Callithrix jacchus: one gene and its partner. The protein of the gene in region 1 purifies or fractionates together with the protein of each later gene. This does not show direct contact. Links are inferred from orthologs where the notes say so. Each region holds a gene or a part of one and is shown in the gene's direction. Other genes may lie near its edges.

What was found.
Region 2: the proteins of ARID4A (region 1) and BRMS1 purify together in Homo sapiens (affinity purification with western blotting; 3 studies listed by BioGRID and IntAct, with this or other methods). This does not show direct contact. The link is inferred for Callithrix jacchus from reciprocal best matches to the Homo sapiens genes ARID4A and BRMS1.

Annotation. Positions count from the first base shown.
Region 1 is NC_133509.1:92,949,583-92,957,164, forward strand, and holds the start of ARID4A (AT-rich interactive domain-containing protein 4A), read left to right. Parts: upstream 1-2,611; 5' UTR 2,612-2,768; intron 2,769-3,285; exon of another isoform or gene 3,286-3,755; intron 3,756-3,856; 5' UTR 3,857-3,913; coding exon 3,914-3,919; intron 3,920-5,672; coding exon 5,673-5,783; intron 5,784-7,582. Other genes in the region: uncharacterized protein LOC100895059, read right to left, coding at 961-1,013, 2,024-2,282.
Region 2 is NC_133511.1:123,420,747-123,428,578, reverse strand, and holds the start of BRMS1 (breast cancer metastasis-suppressor 1), read left to right. Parts: upstream 1-3,373; 5' UTR 3,374-3,504; intron 3,505-5,211; exon of another isoform or gene 5,212-6,531; 5' UTR 6,532-6,538; coding exon 6,539-6,677; exon of another isoform or gene 6,678-7,750; coding exon 7,751-7,832. Other genes in the region: uncharacterized protein LOC118145537, read right to left, coding at 467-716; B4GAT1 (beta-1,4-glucuronyltransferase 1), read left to right, coding at 951-2,006, 2,254-2,445. UniProt on the Homo sapiens protein: Transcriptional repressor. Down-regulates transcription activation by NF-kappa-B by promoting the deacetylation of RELA at 'Lys-310'. Promotes HDAC1 binding to promoter regions.

The DNA of each region.
Region 1 (7,582 bases):
TCCCAATGTCTACAAACAAAAATAGATGGTAAGAAAATGAGCAAAACTAGAATATTTTCTAAAACAAAACCAAGAAAGACAAAGCCTTTTGTGTAATATATAACTACAGTTTAAACTGTAACTATCTTTTGGTGGAGGGAAGAAATTTTTGTATTCTTCTTTGGGCTTTTTAGTAATATCCAAATGTCCATGGATTATTTGGATTAGATAATAACAGTTTAAACTTTGATAGTGGAATTACGGATGCTTACTCCCTGGAAAGTTCAGTAATATACTGTTTGTTTTAGAAGGTCTTCTAAAAAACTGCTTCACCCCTCAACATTCCTATTTACAAAATATTTTCTACATGAGAAATTTTTAAATAGGCGGGGTGAGTACCACAAAAATATGCATTTTTTTTTTTTTTTTGAGACGGAGTTTCGCTCTTATTACCCAGGCTGGAGTGCAATGGTGCGATCTCGGCTCACCACAACCTCTGCCTCCTGGGTTCAGGCCATTCTCCTGCCTCAGCCTCCCGAGTAGCTGAGATTACAAGTGCCCACCACCACACCCAGCTAATTTTTTGTATTTTTAGTAGAGACGAGGTTTCAGTATGTTGGTCAGGCTAGTGTCGGACTCCTGATCTCAGGTGATACACCAGCCTCGGCCTCCCAAAGTGCTGGTATTACAGGTGTGAGCCACTGAAATAAGCATGTTTTATGATAAAAACATTAGGTACTTCGAAATCCAGAAATGAGAACCACATAAATGGGTAAAGGAATCCGTAAGGATGTCCTAATTTTGGGATTTCACTCTAAAATATTACATCAGGAAGCTAATTATATAGACTCATGTAAATCTGAATAAACAAAACATCTTTCAACTACTTTTCGTCCATTCTAGTATTCCTCTACTAATCCATAGAAAGTTTTTCTATGGTCCCCCGTAATTCTAAGGATTTTTAGAGACATTATGACTCACCTCAGTAATGCTTTGAGATATCTGCCACTGAGATGTTGTTTTCTTCAGCACAACTGCCAAAAACCCAGTAATTGTTAAGTCACGCAACCATTTTCTAGTCTTGAGCTCCACCAATATAGCAGTACGGTTTAAAACAGATATTCAGGGTAATTATTAGCATCTATCCAGTGTGACTAGGTCACTCACTAGAAATACCAACATACATTTCACTTTCTTAATGAATACTTTTGAGCAAAATCCCTGTTATAAATAAAAAACTGATTCTGCTAAGACGTTTTCTTACTGAGAAAATTTAGTCCACGTGGAAAACTGACGATATGTCACATTTAAAAAACCATTCCATTCTATAAAACTAGACAATTTATATTCCAATTTCACTATTTAAAAATATGTGTCTTTCACCGAACAAAGCACAAGATGTTAACAAAACGAGATCAACGTCTATCTTATCTGGGAGGTTCTTGTGTTTAAGATGTTTTCAGTCCTGCAAAATCACTGTTTCCTTTCAAAAAGTAGCATAAGCCTCATGCAGAGTGACACACACGCTTGTCTAAGGTCAGAGAAGCAGCGTCTGCGCTGGCAAGTAAACTGCTCAGCATGCAGAAAGCCAGCGCTTTCTCCAGTTTCCTCACAGCTTTATCGCGCGAGAAGCACGCGGAAAGCTCTCTCCAAGCAGGATGTTTTTAAGAACCACTTCTTCCCTGTCTTAAAAGGCTCCCACAGCTGGTGCTAAACAGGTGGAGAATACGGCAAGTCCCCGAAATGCATTTCCAAAGACAGGAAGAACTGCTCAGAGAGTGACAGAATCCAGAAAATCTCTCACATTCTCTAGAGCCCAAACGATCACATCCAAGAAAGAGGTTTCTCTCTCCTCTACCTCTCTCTCTTTCTCTGGGCGGGAGAGGAAGCCTCGCCCCCTTTCATCCCACCCCTTCTCCCCTCCCCGCCGCCAAGAACTGATTTTAAACCATGGCTGCCCGCGGCCCCCTTACTTCCGGTGCCGGTGCCGCTAGAGCTGCGCCATCCCCCCAAGTCAATCGGACAACCACAGCCTCCAACTGACCTTTTGACAGCTCTGCGGCTCCTCCGTCCAAAACTAGGTGCTGTCCTTGAGGGAACGGTGGATGGCTGCCGCAGAAAAACGAATCTGCCAGATGAAAACTCCGTTTCCTTCTCGCCAGAAAACTAAAATGCGATGGAGCTGCGGCCACCGCTGCCGAGACAAAATGGCGCCGGGAAGCTGGTTTGGCGCAGGCGCATAGGAAAGACACTGCCCCGCCCCCGTGCAAGCCCCTGGCTGCAATTCTGGGTTCCGTTTCCATGGGACACTCCGCCGCCAATCCTCGTGCCGAACTGCTCTTCCTGACCCCACAATTCACCAATCAGTGCACAGTCAAGCACATCCGGAGTCGTGTCTACCAATCAATTCTCAGAACTTGCTTACTCAATAACCAACTCTCCAATAACGTTGGTCTTCAGAAAAAACCAATCATAAGTGGAAGATGTCCTACCTGCTGTTTTTCGCACCAATCCATGAAGTTTCAGAGCTACATCCAATGGGGACGGCAGGTAGCGAGGGCCTATCCGAAGCTCTTCGGCGTCATGAGCAGCCAATAGGAGTTCGTGTAGAAGCGAGTCGGCTCAACAGCTTGTTATTTGGTGGATTGTGGCAGTAAATCGGGGCGAGTGGGGAACCGGGCGCAGGAACTGTCGCCGCAGCCGGGAGTGGTGCTGCCCGGACGGGGGCCCACGGAGGTCAGAGGGACGGAGGACTCTGGAGCTGACAGCGCGCACTTCACTCGCAGTTGGTAGGTGGGGAGAGGGGAATCGGGGGATACTGAATGGACCTAGCGGCAGTAGCAGCTGCTGCTGCTGCTGCCCAGGGTCCCGGTGCAGTTGGAAGGTTTGGAGGTGGGGAGAGGGATGCTAGGCAAGTGGTGCGGCTAGCGCAAGGGAAGGGGCCAGCCGTGGAGCAGTGGCAGCAACTGTGGGAACCGCCGCCGCCGCTGCAGCTGCCTCCTCGTCCGCTTCCCCGGGTTCCCGGGAAAATGGCTGTGGGGCTGGCTGCGCCGCTAAGTTTGCTTCCGCGCGGTAGAAGCGGGCTGCTTGGAGGAGCCGTCCCCCAACTCTGCGGTGCGTCCACCCCTGCGGAGTCCGTGGCAGGACTCGAGGGGCTGGGGGCTGATACCTCTCTGGGCTGTACAAAAAGTTGAGGCGGGCGCGGGGAGGAGGCGGCGGCTGCTGCGGTGCGGTTCCCCTCCCCTCCCACACCCTGTCCGGGCCACCTCCCCTCCTCCTCCTCTCCGCCCCCGCCCCCTCCCCCGCGCAGTTCTCCCGGGGCTCTGGAGGCTCCCGACTGAAGGCCGCGGCCCCTGCCCCTTCGGGTGAAGGAGCGCTTCTCCTTCCTGACATGGTGCAGAACGAAGGAACGAGAGCAATGGCGCCGTGACACTCCGCTGCCGCCACCGCGGGCCCGGGGCGGGCCAAGGGGGCCGAGCGGCGGAGGCGGGGCGCGGGCCGAAGTCGGGGTATCCGGGGGACAGCGGAGCGTAGGCTTGGCGGTCGCCTCCGCGGGGGACCTGGGGAAGCCCGAACGGCGCCTTGCCCTTTTCCCGAGCTATCTGTCCTGGGGCTCCGAGTTGAGCATTCCGGGTCCGAGTGGCCATCGAGGCGGGGGCGCGGTGGGCCGCTGGCGAGCTCCGGGGCGGAACGAGCTGCCCTTTGGCGCGCTGGGGTTCTAGCTGCCCCTTCAGATCCTGCGTCCGCCCTTGGAGAGGGGTCTTGTCCCTTGACCGGTGAGAATTCTGCCCCGCCCGCTGGCGTTTGTTTACTTTCTTTCCCTTGGTCGCTCCCCGCAGTTGACTGATTCTGTGCCGGTCTTTCTCCCTCCCCGTAGTTCTAGCGACTGCAAAGATAGCTCGCTGAGCTGGAACCCCACAGATCACCAACAAAAATGAAGGTAAGTGGAGTCAACGCTGCCCCTATCCTCGTGCCCTGGACACTGCCAGTTGTGAGACTAGTGCCGTGGAATGTCATTTGTTTGCTACTCAAAATTGATGTCCCTGCTGAGCAGCAGTTTCGGCAAAGGAGGATGTGTTGAATGGGTGAGAAATGATCTGTGTGTCTAAATGCGGAGTTTGGGCCCTCTCTGTAGCAGCCTTTCAGTTGTTGTCCATTAGGATAGTATTTTTAAACACTTCCTGTGTTGGCAGCAACCTTTGCAGAAGTAAAGCTTTTGTCCTGCTTTGGTTCTTTGGGGGATTTTTTGAAAATTTTTTTCTTCCCCAGTGCCAATGTGATTTTCTAAGAGAAAGAATACATGGATTAAGTAATGAAGGTATCATTTCTTCTGTGTGTTTAGTGAATTCATGTGGATAAAATATTTGAAGTTGAACTATATTATAGTTTTAGTTAAATCTGTACAGTAAATATTTTAAAACATATTCTGACCCTAAAAAGATATATATTCTACTGAGAATGACTGCAAATAACAGTATGTGGATGGTTAAAGGGAAAGGATCTCATATAACATTCTTGAATGCTGTGGCCATTGAACGTTTCAGGTCAGATTTTTATTTGCCAAAAGCGTTCCTATTCAATTTGTATTTCTTGTAAATGCACTTACTTTAAAAGGTACCTAGTTCCTATCTTATTTACTGTTTCAGTGTATTAAGCTCTGAAACACAGCATTTTCCCAAACTTTCTCCTGGTTTTCTATTTTCTCGAAGTAAATGATGTATTTAACTTTCTTTAATATTACTTGGGAAAACTTATTGGAAAACAAAAATAAAAACATTTTCTACTTAAAAATGTATCTCCAAAGTATACATTGTTACCTTTGCATTTAACAATGTTAAGTTGAACTTGTATGGTTACACTTTAACTTCTGGGAAGAAAAAAAAGGTAAAATGACAGATTGAGATAACAATCATCCTGTTACCATCAAGATTAAAATAAGTGGTAGAGTGAAATTTCTCACATCTTTCGATGTATCATTCTGATCATGTCCGTTTGCTAAACGTAGATATTTATTAGTAATGCTTATATATTTATACCAAGAAGATTAGTGGGGTAAACTAGGTATGTCTACGAGTCTTGAGCCATGGGTTCATATCTGCATTCATTGGCTGAATTGAAACTTAAAACCTTTCAAATGCAGCTTTTAGCCAATGAATTTTCCAAATTATACTCTCCTTATGAAAAGATGTTATCTTTACATAGCTATGTCAATGAACAATTATGTATTTTTAGTGTTAGTTTTAGTAGCAATATTTATTTTAATTTGAAATTTAATTTTATTTATTAAAATTTTTAATAATTCTATAATAAAAAATTTATTTTCAGGAGGATATAAATGAATAACTTAATTTTATGATATGTGTAATATGAAATATTTTCCTGCCATTTCTTATTTTTCTGCTTATATAAATAGTAGAATTTTTTAAAAATTTTGTATCTGGAGAAAAACATTGTATTTCGTCACCGATAATTTTGAATTACAACTTTAAAACATTTTATCGCATAAGGACATCAGTATGTAAAATAAAGAGTTGCTGATCAAGTGTTTGCTTTAGGGTATTTTTCAAATTTTCAGTGATACTAGTAAGTTATTTTAATATTCTTAATGCTTCAAACACAATCTTTTAATGACACTCGAGGTTGGAGCAGGGAGACATAGTAATGACATTCACAGTTTATGTTCTTTTCACCAGGCGGCGGATGAGCCTGCCTACCTGACAGTGGGAACTGATGTCAGTGCCAAGTACCGAGGTGCCTTCTGTGAGGCAAAGATTAAGACTGTGAAAAGGCTGGTGAAAGTTAAGGTAATATTTGTTTTTATGCAATAGTTTTATTAACTCTAGATTGAAGAAAGTTGGGGAGAGACTGCAAATCAGGATTTTATTGAGTCATTATATAAAGATACTTTATATACTAAACTTACAGGAAAAGCACATTAAAAATTGAGAAATAAAGAACTTGGCTGGTGGCTCACGCCTGTAATCCCAACACTTTGGGAGGCTGAAGCCAGCAGATCACGAGGTCAAGATATCAAGACTATCCTGGCCAACATGGTGAAACCCTGTCTCTACTAAAAATACAAAAAAATTAGCTAGGCGTCGTGCCTGTGCCTGTAGTCTCAGCTACTTGAGACTGAGGCAGGAGAATCGCTGGAACCTGGGTGGAGGAGGTTGCAGTGAGCCAAGATCACACAACTGCACTCTAGTCTGGTGACAGAGCGAGACTCCCATCTCAAAAAAAAAAAAAAAAATAGCTAGGTGTGGTGGCTCATGCCTGTAATCCCAGCACTTGGGAGGTGGAGTTCGAGACCAGCCAGACCAACATGGAGAAACCATTTCCCTACTAAAAATACAAAATTAGCCAGCATGGTGGCGCATGTCTGTAATCTCAGCTACTTGGGGGGCTGAGGCAGGAGAATCTCTTGAACCTGGGAGGTGTAGGTTGCGGTGAGCCAACAATGCCATTACACTCCAGCCTGGCTGACGAGTGAAACTCCAGCTCCAAAAAAAAAACCCTCAAAAAGGGAAATTATTCCAAAATGCTACCACCAACAAAATGCTACCACTAAAATACCATGCTAATGATATTTTCTGTCATTTGGATCTTAACTATTTGTGGAAGCATACTTGGACTGTAATCTATTTTCTTTCCTTTTATAATGTTCAGGTAGAGACAATTTCAGTGTTTAAGACAATACAAATACAATGGGAATTGGTTTTCAAGATAGTGTAAAAAAGCATTTAAGAAGTTAACTTTGGGCTGGGCGTAATCCCAGCACTGAGGGAGGGCGAAGTGAGCAGTCTTGGCCAACATGGTGAAAACCTGTCTCTACTAAAAATGCAAAAATTAGACTGGGCGTGGTGGCTCATGCTTGTAATCCTAGGACTTTGAGAGGCCAAGACGGGTGGATCACATGAGGTCAGGAGTTCAAGACCAGCCTGACCAACATGATGAAACCCCATCTCTACAAAAATACAAGAATTAGCTGGGTATGGTGGCAGGTGCCTGTAACCCCAGCTACTCAGGAGGCTGAGGCAAGAGACTCACTTGAACCCAGGAGGCAGAGGTTGCAGTGAGCCGAAATTGTACCATAGCATTTCAGCCTGGGCAATGTAGTGAGATCTTGCTTGTTCAATAATAAAAATAATAAAATTAAGTGGTGTAGGCATCTGTGGTCCCAGCTGCCCTGGAGGCTGAGATGGGAGAATTGCTTGAGCCTGGGAGGTCAAGGCTGCAGTGAGCTGTGGTTGTGCGACTGCACTCCAGCCTGGTTGACAGGGCCAGACCCTGTCTCAAAAAAAAAAAAAAATTATTTTTTTAAGATGCTTTTATTCGGGAATAATTTTTTTTGATGATACCTTCTAGTAGTTTTCTTAAATGAATATATTTTTAATAGCCTCTTTTACTTTATACTGAAATTTAAAAAGTAATGCTTATTATAAACATTTTTAACATTATAGAGGTATAAATATAGTTTATGAAGTCCTCTTTAAAAAATTTTATTTATTTCAGTTGACAATTTTACATATTCATGGGCTACATAGTTATGTTTTGCTACATATAATGTATGGTGATTAAGTCAGAATAATTAGCTTATCCATCA
Region 2 (7,832 bases), on another chromosome or scaffold:
ACCAACCCCTGGGCCCTCTTTATAAAGAGAAAGAAAACACCTTTGGTTTTTTGTCCATTTGTAGCCCAGAGCTACAGACACCTGCAGTAGGAGCAGGCAGGAGATGCGTGGTGGATAGACCAGAGAGACTTGGGATAGAATTCCACTCTCACCCCCAGTTTAGTTTTCGTCAGCTTGCTGCTCTAAACAGGCAGAATGTGAAAATTAAGATGCCTTCCCCACTCGCACCCCCAGTTCAGTTTTCTCTAGCTTGCTGCTCCAAACAGGCAGAAGTGAAAATTTAGGTGCTTTTTCCCCCCTATAAAATAGGGCCGACGAGGATGGGATTCGAACCCACGCGTGCAAAGCACAATGGATTAGCAGTCCATCGCCTTAACCACTCGGCCACCTCGTCCTACGTGGAACAGCTCTTTCCACATTCCCTTATCTCTCATCTCCTCCGCACCTTCCGAGCACTGCCACCCACCTGGCAACGCCAACCTCCTCGGACCCGGGGAAAAGAGAAGCCGCGGGAGGAAAGGAGCGTTTTGATTTCCTTTCAGCCGGGAGCCCGCGCCATCCTTCACCATGCTGCAGCCGAGCTCTGCCGCGGGTTCCTCAGAGTCCGGCCGAGCGCGCCAGACGTTCAGGGCGCGCTCGGTCCGGGGTGCGCGCGCCGGCGGGGAAGAAGGAGCGCGCGTCCCGGGAAGCCGGCGGGGCCCGGGCGGGCGGGACATCTGCACCGCGCGCGGCCGGGCGGTGAGGCCGTGGCTCCTCCCCCCTCGCAGGGGGCGAGCTGGCGCTTCTGGGGCTGGGGGCGGTGGCAGGCGGCGGGCGGGGCGGTGCGCGGGGCTCGGCTAGCCTCGGCTCGTCTCGGCTGCGCTCGGCAGGCTGCGGTAAATCCGGGCTTGCGGCGGTTGGCGTAGTCTGTGGCCGGTGGTCTTTGCTGCGCGCCCCGAGCCCGGAGAACCATGCAGATGTCCTACGCCATCCGGTGCGCCTTCTACCAGCTGCTGCTGGCCGCGCTCATGCTGGTGGCGATGCTGCAGCTGCTCTACCTGTCGCTGCTGTCCGGACTACATGGGCAGGAGGAGCAAGACCAATATTTTGAGTTCTTTCCCCCGTCCCCACGGTCCGTGGACCAGGTCAAGGCCCAGCTCCGCACAGCGCTGGCCTCCGGAGGCGTCCTGGACGCCAGCGGCGATTACCGCGTCTACAGGGGCCTGCTGAAGACGACCCTGGACCCCAACGATGTGATCCTGGCCACGCACGCCAGCGTGGACAACCTGCTGCACCTGTCGGGTCTGCTGGAGCGCTGGGAGGGCCCGCTGTCCGTGTCGGTGTTCGCGGCCACCAAGGAGGAGGCGCAGCTGGCCACGGTGCTGGCCTACGCGCTAAGCAGCCACTGTCCCGACATGCGCGCCAGGGTTGCCATGCACCTCGTGTGCCCCTCGCGTTACGAGGCAGCTGTGCCTGACCCCCGGGAGCCAGGGGAGTTTGCCCTGCTGCGGTCCTGTCAGGAGGTCTTTGACAAGCTAGCCAGGGTGGCACAGCCCGGGATTAATTATGCGCTAGGCACCAATGTCTCCTACCCTAATAATCTGCTGAGGAATTTGGCTCGTGAGGGGGCCAACTATGCCCTGGTGATCGATGTGGACATGGTGCCCAGCGAGGGACTGTGGAGAGGCCTGCGGGAAATGCTGGATCAGAGCAACCAGTGGGGAGGCACCGCGCTCGTCGTGCCTGCCTTCGAGATCCGACGAGCCCGCCGCATGCCCATGAACAAAAACGAGCTGGTGCAGCTCTACCAGGTGGGCGAGGTTCGGCCCTTCTATTATGGGCTGTGCACCCCCTGCCAGGCACCCACCAATTATTCCCGTTGGGTCAACCTGCCAGAAGAGAGCCTGCTGCGGCCTGCCTACGTGGTGCCTTGGCAGGACCCCTGGGAGCCATTCTACGTGGCAGGAGGCAAGGTGCCCACCTTTGACGAGCGCTTTCGGCAGTACGGCTTCAACCGAATCAGCCAGGTGCTCATAAGGGAGAGGGCAGGGGTTGGGGCAGGAGGGGTGGTGGGATCAGGGAGTTACGAGGAGTGGCCCTGGATGGAAAAGAGGCAGTGAAGCAGGAGGGATCATAGTTTAGTAGGTGAGTGGATAGTATGGAAGATCCAGGATGCTTCCAGAGGGGTGAGGATGCTGGACTGTGGCTTGAGGGAAGTCAGTCTCAGCCCTGTAAATGTCATCAAATTTTGCTGACCCGTCTTTCCCCCTACAGGCCTGCGAGCTGCACATGGTGGGGTTTGATTTTGAGGTCCTGAACGAAGGTTTCTTGGTTCATAAGGGCTTCAAAGAAGCGTTGAAGTTCCATCCCCAAAAGGAGGCTGAAAATCAGCACAATAAGATCCTTTATCGCCAGTTCAAACAGGAGTTGAAGGCCAAGTACCCCAACTCTCCCCGACGCTGCTGAGCCCTTCCCTCCCCTGGTCTGAGAAGTTAGCCTCTTGGCTCCTCAGGCCACCCTTAGGCCTGACTGGGGTAAGAAATGTGACTCTACTTTACAGAGGTAGCTGTGGTGTTGAAACACTGGACTTGAATATGGGGTGCTGGGATTTAGTCCTAGCTTTACCACTAACTAGCTGTGTGGCCTTGAGTAAATCCCGTTACCTCTCTGGGCCTCAGTTACCCTGTCTGTAAAAAGGGAGGTGAAAATACCTACCTCACAGAACTGTTGGGAGGCTCAGATGAGACGCTATATGTGAAAACATTCTGTAAGCTTCGTACAAATGTGAAGTATTAATATTATCACAGTATTATTATTATTGTTATTAACAATCTTGGGTGGGTAGGAGAGCAAAAAGTATGAATGGGATGGAGCTAAGAAGGCTGAGTACTTAATGAAATGGACTTTTTGGAAAGAAATCAGATGAAGGCATAAAATTTAGTTCTTAGCTCTTGGGCAGAAGCCTAAAATTCCTGGTTCTCTCAGGCCTTCGGCCTCAGGAGCTCTGAAGGAGGGCAGGGTCTGCAGGCCCCATGGGTGACAGCCTCAGATCTGTCCCTTCAACAGGCCGGGCTGAGTATGTGCCTACCGATGACAATGTGTAAATAAATGAGTGTTCACACCCACAGCTGGCTCCGTTACTCTCTTGAGCTGGGGGTGGAGGGATCGGGGCCGGGTTCTCCCCTTGCACACGGTGGGGAGGTGGCCACGGACGAAGGTCGCCGCCTGCAAAGCACTGAAACCTCAGGGCCTTCCTTGCAGGCCAAAGGCCTGCGTGAACGTCGGCCGGTTGCTATGGAGACCGGCCCGCGGTATCCCAGCATGCCTCGGGACCCAACTGTCCAATTGTGAACACCGTCGACGGTCGCGTCCTGATGAAGCACACGGAAGCACCGAGGCTCTGCCTCCTCGAGAAGAGGGAGCCGCGCAGGTCTTACGGGAGGCCGGCGGCAGCAGCCGGTACCGGCAACCACGGGCACCTCTCAGGGAATCTCGGTCGTGAGGCCAGAGGCCCCAGTCCCCGCGGTGCGTATCGCCATGCATGGCTTTTGTTCAGCCTCTCGGGTTAGTCCAGCAGAGCCGGCACAATCTCCTCCTCCGAGCCCGAAGCAGCGATTTAACCGACCTGACGCGTGCTGGGCCGCGGGCCAGCCAGGAATGTTCCGGCCCGTGCCGGCTCATCTAGAAGGGAGCAGGAGGCTCCCTGGGCGCTGCGGAAAAGTTGGGTTGACCTGTGTGAGAGTGGGGAGGGTCTGCCTTCCCTGGGCGCCTGCCCCGGAGGAGCTGCCATTCTGAAAAGATAAATTGCCTGTGTACAGCGCTTTACAATGTGCTTTTCCATCCCTTACCACCTGCGAGCTCTTCAACACTCAGAGTAGGAATAGTTACCTGTTTTTTGCACCCGGGGCAAGGAGGGAAGGTTGTGACTTAACTCACTTATAATCAGAACCAGCGGGAGGAGAGAAAGGCTTCTGGAAGAGATAGGACTTACGCTGCGTCTTACAAAGTGAATATACTAACAGTGAAGAGGCATTGCAAATGTTGGGAACTGGCTTGGAGAACTGAGCTTTTCAGGTCAGGTTGAGGTCATTAGTGAAATTGTTGAGGAATGTGAACGCTCACCTAGGCCAGCCTTACAATGCACAACTTGAATCGGTGTCAAGGACAGTTTGCTACCATTACAGGGACCTGGGACTACCAAAAAGTAAAAGCTAATCTCTGCCTCACAATTTTGTTGTTGTTGTTGTTGTTGTTAAATTTGTATTTGCAAATCCTCCAGTCATCAAGTGAGCTAGTACTATGCTAGGCAAATAAGACGCATGTGCAGCCCCTGCCCTAATGAGGCTCATAGGCTGATTGGGAGGACAGACGGGAGAATGGGCAAATAGGAGATATAAATAAAGCTTCCTGGAGGGAGTGCTGTCTGCACTGTTCTAAAGGACTACAAAGCAGTGTCCAGAGAAGCTGGAAGAATATCACAGCGAAATAGAACCTGCAGGGGGCCGAGAGCTTATCTGCTGAGAGGACTGGTTATTCTTCCTTTTGGGTGATCTCTTGGCAGTACTTGGCACTATCGGTACAATTACTGCTGGGAAGTACTTGGCTTCCTTCTGAAATTCTTTCTCCAAGACTTCGGGTTTGCCTCTGCCTTTGTAGGAGTCTCCTCATCTGCCTCTTTGGTGACCCTGGGAGTCCCATTGTGGATGTCTTCTGACCACACACATTCTGCCTTGATACTTGCACCTTCTCCTGTGGCATGAAGAACTTGCTGTAGGCCGATGACCAAACCTCTGCAGCTCAGATTTCTCACTGAGATTTAGACCCATGTACCCCAGCTGCTTTCCTTCTCTTATTCTGGGTCTTTGCTACTAACTCGATCTGGAATATTCCCTCACTCAATCAGCACAGCTCACCCAGCTGGTCCATCTTCATCTAGAAGCCCTCCCTACTGCATCAGGCTTCAGGTCCTGGTTACATACCCCTCCCTTATACCCTGGTCTTAACTCTCCTCATACCAGAGTTATAGTCTGCTCCTTTGCCCCTGTCTCCCAAGAACTTGTAAACTCCGTGAGGTCAAAGACAGTCACACTTGGGGCCCCTGCATACCATAGTGCCTGACAGTACCTAGCATATATTAGATGTTCAATACATGTTAGATGAGTCAGTAAAAGAATGCTTACCAGTGTTCAGTGTTGCCGAGCAGACAATTGAAATAAGCACTGAAAAATATTGTCATTACCCATAAGGAAGTCACTGGTTAATGGTACAGGATCAGTTTCAGCTGAGATCGATGGGTACAGAAACACATCGAACAAGTGGAAGGTGAAACTAGGAACAGCCAGTGTGCATGAAACCTTGAAAAGTATAACTGAACTGGCAGACAGGGAGCAGTCAGGTGGAAGGGTGAGGTTTTGTGTTTCTGTGTTTTGTTAATGGTAGAAAATACTCAAGCACATTGAAAGTTTCATGGGAAGGAGGTTGCTAAGAGGGAGAAGCTGAAGACACAAAAGAGAGAGGGGAGCACTGATGACCTGAGGTCCTAGAGGAGGCAGAAGGAAATGGGATTTGACCCAGAGCACAGTGAAAGACAAGGGGATTGTAATGGTATCCAGAAGAGAAGCTGAGGGCATTATAGGGAGAAGGAACAGCTGAGGCAGAGGGCAGAAAGTGAAAGTGCAAGCACTGGCCGTTAGATGGTGGGATGAAGGAGCTGGACCGGGAGGGCAAGTGCAGTCTGTGAAAGACCTTGAAAGCCCCGGTCAGAAATGTAGATCCAGTTCAGATATGGTGGCACACACCTGTAATCCCAGCTACTCAGGAGGCTGAGCCAGGAGAATTGCTTGAACCCAGGAGGTGGAGGTTGCAGTGAGCCGAACTCATGCCACTCTAGCCTGGTGACAGAGTGAGACTCTGTCTCAAAAAAAAAGAATGAAAATTGGCTGGGTGTGGTGGCTCATGCCTGTAATCCTAGCACTTTGGAAGGCTGAGGTGGGCGAATCACAAGATCAGGAGTTGGAAACCAGCCTGGCCAACATGGTGAGATCCTGTCTCTACTAAAAATACAAAAAATTAACTGGGCATAGTGGCAGGCACCTGTAATCTTAGCTACTTGGGAGGCTGAGGCAGGAGAATCACTTGAACCCAGGAGGTGGAGGTTGCAGTGAGCCGAGATCGCGGCACTCACTCCAGCCTGGGCGACAGAGCGAGACTGTCTCAAAAAGAGAAAATAAAAATTTAGGTCCAGTTCCATAGGCAGTGGAGAGTGCCCCCTAGGCCTTTCCTTTCTGTGGATCACAGCCTTGGCCAGTATTCCCAGGATTAGGATCACCAGTGACATCCAAGAGCAGGAGCATTTCCACAGCTCCCAGGCTTCTGTGAGAGGTGCAGATGGCCATTTGCACCCTTATTACCCAGTATGTGCTCAAGGTGTGGCCAGGCCAGTCACTTCCTGGCTGTCCCAATCTGGGGTCTGGTCGGGTTCAGCTCCCCACTGCCTCTTTCCCCCTCTGAACAGAGGGCAGCTGTGAGTGATGGCTTCATTCCTTCTCCCAGAGTCCAGATGCCTGTCCAGCCTCCAAGCAAAGACACAGAAGAGATGGAAGCAGAGGGTGATTCGGCTGCTGAGATGAATGGGGAGGAGGAAGAGAGTGAGGAGGAGCGGAGCGGCAGCCAGACGGAGTCAGAAGAGGAGAGCTCTGGTGAGCCCCTGCACACACACACACACACACACACAGCCCCTACACACAAGCATGCATGTACACGCACGCACAGCCCCTACACACAGCCCCTACACACAAGCACACACCACCCCTCCACATAAGCACGCATGCACACACCACCCCTCCACATAAGCACGCATGCACACACAGCTCCTACATGCACACATGCACACACAGCTCCTACACACACACACACATGCACACACAACCCCTACACACATGCACACACAGCCCCTACTCACAAGCACACATGCACACAGCTCCTACACACAACACACAGCCCCTACACACAAGCACACACGCAAACACAGCCCCTACACACAAGCACACACACATGCACGTGCATATATAGCCCCTACACACAAGCACACATGCACACACAGCCTCTACACATAAGCACACACAGCCCTTACACAAATACACAGCTCCCACACACGCACACATGCATACACAGCCCCTGTGCACAGGCACACATGCACGTGCACAGATAGCCCCTACACACGAGCACACATGCACATGCACACACCACCCCTACACAGAAGCACACACGCACACACAGCCCCTACACACATGCACACACACACAGCCTCTACACACAAGCACACATGCACACAACCTCTACACACAAGTACACATGCACACCCACACAGCCTCTACACACAAGCACGCACACACACATAGCCTCTACAAACAAGCACACACATACACAGCCTCCACAAAGTACACATGCACACACACACAGCCTCTGCACACAAGCATGCACACATATACACAAACAGCCTCTACACACAAGCACACATGCACACAGCGTCTACACACAAACACACACACAAGATTGCACCAGCTTGCTTTACAACATGCTTCAGGGGGAGCTGCAAGAGCAGAGCCAGAGACTGGAGGAGGACTGCCAGAGCCTGGACGCGCGCGCACACACACACACACACACAAGCACGCACATGCACACACAGCCCCTACACACGCATGCAGATGCACACACACGTGGGTATCCACCACGCCTCTCCAGAGCTACCCCTTACTGGCCTCTTGTCCAGAGATGGATGATGAGGACTATGAGCGGCGCCGCTGTGAGTGTGTCAGTGAGATGCTGGACCTAGAGAAGCAGTTCTCGGAGCT